Elephas maximus indicus: one gene and its partner. The protein of the gene in region 1 purifies or fractionates together with the protein of each later gene. This does not show direct contact. Links are inferred from orthologs where the notes say so. Each region holds a gene or a part of one and is shown on either strand. Other genes may lie near its edges.

Evidence for each region.
Region 2: the proteins of STAU1 (region 1) and ELAVL1 purify together in Homo sapiens (affinity purification with mass spectrometry; 3 studies listed by BioGRID, with this or other methods). This does not show direct contact. The link is inferred for Elephas maximus indicus from reciprocal best matches to the Homo sapiens genes STAU1 and ELAVL1.

What each region holds. Positions count from the first base shown.
Region 1 is NC_064843.1:20,399,134-20,402,877, forward strand, and holds the start of STAU1 (double-stranded RNA-binding protein Staufen homolog 1), read left to right. Parts: upstream 1-907; 5' UTR 908-1,158; intron 1,159-3,744. UniProt on the Homo sapiens protein: Binds double-stranded RNA (regardless of the sequence) and tubulin.
Region 2 is NC_064821.1:12,746,655-12,750,398, reverse strand, and holds the start of ELAVL1 (ELAV-like protein 1), read left to right. Parts: upstream 1-1,366; 5' UTR 1,367-1,497; intron 1,498-3,744. UniProt on the Homo sapiens protein: RNA-binding protein that binds to the 3'-UTR region of mRNAs and increases their stability.

The DNA.
Region 1 (3,744 bases):
TGGAGCCCTGGTGACACAATGGTTAAGAGCTTGGCTCCTGACCAAAAGGTCAGCAGTTCAAATCCACCGGCTACTCCTTTGAAACCCTATGGGGCAGTTCTACTCTGTCCTATAGGGTTGCTATGAGTTGGAATCAACTCAATGGCAATAGTTTTTTTGGGGGGGGTTTTTTTTGGATATAAATTACTTTTTTTTTTTTTAATAATTTTTATTGAGCTTTAAGTGAACGTTTACAAATCAAGTCAGTCTGTCACATATAACTTATTTATTTATTTATTTTTAATTCAGTTTTATCCCCACTAGAAGGGAGCAGTACTCAGAATAGAATCAAGGCAAGGGGTAGAGGGGCTAATGGTTAAGAGCCTGGCTGCTAACCAAAAGGTCAGCAGTTCAAATCCACCAGCTGCTCTTTGGAAACTCTATGGGCAGCTCTACTTTGCCCTATAGGGTCACTATGAGTGGGAATGGACTGAAACCCAACAGGTTTGTTTGTTTGGTAGACGGTAAGCTCCACGAGGGCGGGAATTTTTGTCTGTTCATTACTTATTCTTAGGTCTGGCAGCAGTACCTTACACATAGTAGCCGTTTAGTAAACATTTACAGAAGGAAGAATGCAGGTACTGAGGGACTAAAAGAAGGAAAAACAGGCAAAAAGTAGGAAGCAGGTAGTAGCCCCACCTCGGACTCAGCCGGCGCCTGCAAGAACTACAACTCCCAGCATGCCCCGGGGCCCAGGGCGGGTCGCGGCCGCCCCGGGCAGAGAGCAGGACCCAGCCCTTCGGGCTCCCGGCGTGCCTTGCGAGCGCCGGCGCCGCCGCAGCGCCCGCCGGAACTTGTGGTCCAAGCGCGGGTGGGGGTGGGGCCGGGCTTGGAGGCGGGCGGGGGCCGGGGGCGGGCGCCGGCCCCTCCCCCGTCACTTCCTGCCAGGCTGCGGGCGCTCCAGCGGCTCCTCAGCGTTTGCGCCGGCAGTCGCCGCCGCGTCTCACTCGGCTCCCCTGGTCCCTGACCCCCGGCCCGGCGGCGCCCGCCCCTCCACGGCCACTCCGCCTCTTCCCTCCCTCCGTCCCTTCCTCCTGTCCCTTCTTCCTTCCTCCTTCCCCTCTTCGCCGCCGCCGCCCAGGACCGCCGGCCGGGGGACGCGCTCAGGGCAACAGCCAGGTGAGGCGGCCGGGCCTGGCCCGAAGGCGCTCGCGCGGGCGCCGCAGCCGCGGGGAGGCGGGCGGCGGGTGGGGCCTAGGCCTCGGCGGCGCCGCGCGCCGGCCTCCTCTCCCGGGCCTCGCTCCCGCCGGCCGGGCCTTCTCCTAGGAGGCGGGTCGTTCTGCGCCCCCGCCTCGCGCCGCCGGGCGGCCTGGCCCCCGGGCGCCCGGCCCTCTCGGCCCCTAGCTGGGGCCAGAAACAGGTGCCCCGACCGCCTTTCCTCATTCCTGGCCGCGCGCTGGATGCCGGAGTTGTTCCCGGGGCGGGGGAGGGGCGAGTCTCGGCTCCGGGCCCCGAGGTCCACGCGCACGGCCGGCCCGGCCGGTGGCACAGCCGGCGCAGGGGCGGCCCAGGTGTGCGACTCGGGGGCTGACCCCGCTCTGCCCCCTTGGGCCAGTCACTTCAGCTGGCAGAAGGGGCTGATACCGCCCCTGCCCCTTAAGGTTCTCAAGGTTCAGTGAAACGGGGCGTGTAAAGCACTTACCAGAGTGTCTCAAAGCGTCAACATTATTTATTAGCGCGATCACAAAACCCAGCGCGCGATCAGTAAGGTGTTTAATTAAATGGATAGAGGGCGCAGAAACTGACCTACCTACCCGTGTTGGGATCCTTGGAAGCGGAAATGTCTCAGCGTGCCCACTGCCAGCGCCAGGACATTGTTTTGGGTTGTTAACCCAAAGGGGCTTACGTTTAATTGGGACACTCTGCAGTAGGTAGCCTGTAAAAGATAGCTGCTGTTATTTCCATCTCATCCGTGTGGCCAACTGCAGGATTTTCACCACTGAGAGCAACCTGTCCGCTTCTTCTGCCATCATCCGGCTTCTTGTTGTCATCTCACTTCTGGGAAACTTGCTGGCAGAAGCAAACCTTTCTGCAGCACCTGCTGTGGGGTCGGGTTCTGGAGGGGGAAGATGGTGTACAAATATGAACAAACATGTCTGTCTGTCCCTTTCTTGCTCTACATCTCGAACTTCTAACTTTTTGTCACTGCAGCTTTGCTTTTATTCCCTCCGTTCCCGTTGGCTGACTTTCATTTTAAGCCCTTGCCCACCTCCGTGTTGCAGTATTGCTTGTATGGAAGTTTTCTTCTGTTCCAGCAAAGATGTGTGCTTCAGTCTGTTCTGCCCTTCTCTGGCTGTGGGGATGTTTTTAAGGTCACTCTTCCCTTCTGCCTTTAGCTTTAATTGTTTAGAGGGTGGGAGAAGGAGTGAGTTAAACTGGGTTTTCAGATGATTTGGGTCTTTCAGGAATCAAAAGTGCTTACCAAATGTAAATGACATTGCTACTTGTTGAAGTTAACACTAAAAATACAATTGGATCCTAGAGGGAGCCTTTTCAATCACCCTGGTGACAGGTGGGATTTTCAGAACAGTGACTTCATTGAAGCATGCCGAGTTTTTGTAATTATGTACTTAGTTGTATAGGTATACCCATCAGTAAGGTAATGCAACTCATGGAAGTTTAGATTTACAAAGGAGTCAGGAGTGTGTTTGCACTCCTGGCATAGTGGTTAAGAGTTCAGCTGCTAACCAAAAGGTCGGCAGTTTGAGTCCACCAGGCTTTCCTTGGAAACCCTATGGGGCAGTTTTGCTCTGTCCTGTAGGGTCACAGTGAGTTGGAATCGACTTGATGGCAACGGGCCTTTTTTTTTTTTGGTTCTCAATAATAACACGCATGATCCAAAGTGGCCTCCCTCTTCTTGACATTTTCTTAGAATTTTCTGACTCAAGGCCTTACCAGGGTTTCTAGTTTAAAATCTTGGCTTCGATGGCTTTTTAAAAACACCTGAGCAAACAACTAAACAACACAAAGCCTGTGTTCTACTCCCACATCGCTAATAGTAACGCTGGGGAAATGGTGTTTTAATATTGCAGTAAATAATGTAAAGTTTTTTTTAACTTTTTATCATGGAAAACATACAGACGCCAAATACTATACTGTAGAAAACCCCTGTGTATTGGTCGCTCATCTTTGACAATTGTTACCTCATAGCCAAGGCCAGCCTTGTTTCATATTGTACCCCTCCCCCAAACGATTATTTTGAAACAAATCCCAAACATCCTATCACAACATTAACGATTTCCACTTTTACCAGATTGCCCCAGTCTGTCACAAAATTTACTTTTAGCAGAGTCATACTTCTTGTTTTGTTAGGATTCTCATCTCTGTTTAGACAGTGTTACTATAAAAAAAATAAAATTTTTTTTATAGTGTTACTATAGAGCAGAAAAAAGAGCAGCAGCTTGATTAGTGCTTAATTCAGTGTTTCTCCCCATCAAACTCACGTCCAAAATATTGGTTTGTTTCTTTGCATATGAAAACAATAATTTTTCTATTAATGACTGTAATTGAAAAGCAGTCAGAAATAACAGATTTTCCTAATCCTATCTGCTGGGGACCTACCTGTTAAACCACTTTTTATGGAGAATTAACTTTGCATCCAAGTTAAAGTTAATTATTTATAATGAAAACCTTTAAAGTTTCTTTATAGTAGTTGTGTAAATATGTTGATCTCAGCTTAGGTTAAGAATTAAGTAAAGGGTATTT
Region 2 (3,744 bases), on another chromosome or scaffold:
AAGAGTGTAGTTATCTGTTCAGTGTCCTCAGCTCTTTCAGGTCTTCCTGCAAATGCCATCTTCTCATACTGAGGCCTTCCCAACCACCCTCTTTTAAATTGCAACCTTGACATTCCCCATTTCCCTTCCCGATTTACTTTTTATCTTACCACTTTTCCCCTCTTTGTTTCTTTTCTGTTTCTTCATCTGGCACTGTGTGGTCCGAAAAGGTAGCCACCAGCAAGATGTGGCGGCTGAGCCCTTGAGATGTTGTCAGTCCGACTTGAGCTGTGTTGTGAATGTAAATACACACTAAATTTTGAAAACGTGGGAAAAAAAAAGACCTCATAATTTCTTATGTTGATTACATATCAAAATAACAATATTTTCAACACAATGGGTTAAAGAAAACACATTATTAAAATTACTATGTTTCTTTTTCTTTTTCAGACATGGTTACTAAACCAATAAGAAAAACAAAAGCCAAACCCACTGCCCTCTAGCCAATTCCAACTCACAGCAACCCTACAGTACAGAGCAGAACTGCCCCATAGGATTTCCAAGACTGTAAATCTTTACGGAACCAGATTTCCGTATCTTTCTTCCACGGTGCAACTGATGGGTTCCAACCACTGACCTTTCAGTTAGCAGCCGAGCGATTAACCACTGAGCCACCGTTACTACTAGAAAATTTAAATTACACAAACGGCTGGCATTTGTGGCTCCTTTATATTTCTACTAGACGCAATCGTCTAGAATGTCAGCCTAATGAGAGTTCATACAGTGACTGGCTTATACTAGGCACTCAATAAAATCTTAAAGAATGAATGTTAGCCGGAGCCTCTGGGAACCCGTTAGCTCTCACAGCCCACACTGCTGGAACTCTAACAACATCCTGGGCCCCGCCTCCTCGCCCCACCAGCTAAGGAAACTGAGGCCAGGTGAGATGACGTCAGCCCTTGCCCAACGGCACGTAGCGCGAAAACGCGGCGTCAGGATTCGAACCCGGGACCTGTCCCTTTCCCTTTGGTGCGATGACCGTTCCTACCTTGCAGGGAAGCGGGGTAAACAGGAGCGGGACACACGATGGACGCCCGACAAGGAGCGCCGCTCCTCGACCCACCACCACTCTCTGCCAGCCCCGGTCTTCGCGGGGCTGGACCCTCAGCTCACCCCTCCGCGGCCATCTCCACTGCCCCCGTCTCCGCCGGCCGCCGAGCCCTCCGCAGGCGGCGCCGACCGGAAGTTCCGCCTCCCCGCGCGCCTGGGAGGCCGCGACAGCTGCGCCGGCCAATGGGAAGCGCGCCGTGACTGGAGCTGACCAATGGGTGCACGCGCCGGGGGGGCGTGTCCGCGCCGCGGGCCGGAGCGGGTCGTGCGCGCTGAGGAGGAGCCGCCGCCTCGTCGCCGTCGCCGCCGCCGCTGCCGCCGCTACCGAGGCCGAGCGGAGCCGTTAGCGCCGCGCCGCCGCCGCCCGCCCGCCCCGGAGAAGCCCCGGGCCTGCCCGCCCGCGCCCAGGTGAGGCGGGGGCCTTCCGCGGTGCCCCGCGAGGTAGGCCGCGGCAGGCCTGAGCTCGCCTGGCCGGGCCCCGGGCGTCCGCGGGCCTGCACCGGCCGAGGCCCAGGCCGCGCCGGGCCGGGAAGGAACGCGCGCGGGACGCGGGTGTGCGGGGGGCGGCCGGTGTGGGCGCTGGCGACAGAGCCCGGGCCGGATTCCTCGGCCGCCGCGAGGGGCGGGCGAGGGGGTACACGGCGTGGGCACGCGCCTGGCGGCCAGGCTCCGCGGCCGGGGCCGAGCGCTGGGCCTGGGGCCCGGCAGCCTTGGGAGCCCGGGATCCGGGGGCGGGAGAGTGAAGCCAGAGGCGGGGGAGTTGGGTGAGCGCGGTCTGCGCACTGAGGTCGCCCGCGGCCTCCGAGCTCGCTCCCCCGGGAAATCCTCCAGATTCTTTTGTGGTCGTTGTCAGAGGCCAGCGACCGATCTGGGGTCTTTTTTGAAGTGTGCAAACCTTTCGGTGTGTACGGGAGTCCCAGGAAAATGTATTTTTTGAGCGCCATCTCTAACAAAGCTGTTTATGGGGCGTGGGATGTTCGGGTTTGTAAAATGTGTGTTGAAAACACAAACTGCACGCATTTGAACAATGGGGCATGGATGCTCTGGCTTCCTTTTCCGGTACCCTCTGCTACTAGGCTTATTAAAATGGGTTCTGGTACCTACTGTGTGCAGGACAGGTGAGGAAGAACTTCTGCACTGCCCCTGGAGGAAGAGTCGCCCTGACTGAAAGTATTCTAGTGGGAGCCGATGGCTTATGCTACAAGAAGTGGGAAGCTGGGGAGGATGATGGGACTAGAGAAGGGTTTCTTAACCAGGGCACTATTGACGTTTTGGGCCAGATAATTCTTGCTTGTGGGACACTGTCCTGTGCATTATAGGATGCTTAGCAGCATTCTTGGCCTCTACCCACTAACCACCAAAAAAAAAACCCATTGCCGTCGAGTCAGTTTTGACTTATAGCGACCCTATAGGACAGGGTAGAGCTGCCCCACAGGGTTTTCAAGGCTGTAATTCTTTACAGACGCAGACTGCCACATCTTCCTCCGGTGGAGTGGCTGGTGGGTTCGAACCGCCGACCTTTTGGTTAGCAGCCCAGTGCTTAACCACTGTGCCACCAGGTCTCCTCTACCCACTAGATGCCAATAACATCCTTCCCTTCTTTTTCAGTTATGAGGCTCAGAAATGCCTCGAGACATAGCCAAATCCCCATGGGGGCAAAACCACCCCAGGATGAGAACCACTGGACTAGATGATCTTCCACTGAGTCCCTCAAACCCCATCCTTCACTCTTATGCCCTGGTGTTCAAGGCTCCCAAGAGCTTGGATAAGCTGAACTGTGAGAGCCTTGGTTTCCCTGTCTGTAAAATGGGAAGGACAAGAATATTCTTGTGCAAATTTGAGAAAACAGTTTGAGAAGCCCCTAGCATTGTGCCTGGCCTGTGCATGGTAGGTACTGAATAAATGACGTTCTAAATAATTGCTGATATTTATTGAGAATGTACTGTGTGCTTAAGACTCCGTGGACATTTATCTCCAGCCTGTGAGGTAGGTACTGTTATAATTTCCATTTTACAAATGAAAGCACCTAGGCTTAGTTGAGTCACTTGATATGACTAATCTCACTCAGTAAAATGGCCAAACCAGTATTTGAACTCGGGCCCCTGACTCAAAAGTTCTTACTCTTAACCACAGGGTTTCATTGCTCTTGTATAGGTAGTCCCCAACTTATGACAGGGGTTATGTTCTGACAACTCTGTCGTAAGTCAGTTCCGATGTATGTCGAATATTTCATTTTTTTAAAAGTTTTCATCATTATTGCCTTTTATTATCAGTATCCTTGTAAATCATAATATTGAATGTCTGCAAGTGTGCACCTGAGAATAACAACAGCAAATTATGTGCTGCAACGTTGTATGTAGTACACATTAATAATATGTGCAAAAAAAAGCAGAACGACAGACAATGGTAAGTGCAGTTTGTTGATGGTAAGTGCAGTTTGTCGTAACTCTAATACGTCATAAGTCCGGGACTACCTGTATTCACAAGGGTTCATGAGAGCCCTAGAGGCAGGGTTTCCAGGAATTGCGTTTAGTTGTCATTGAGCATCAATTGTGTGCAAAGCTCTGCTGGAACCCGTTATAAAATCTCACGACCTTTGGGTCCAGTAAGAGGCTGAGACACACGAACATCTCTAAATGTGGAAGCAAATAATGT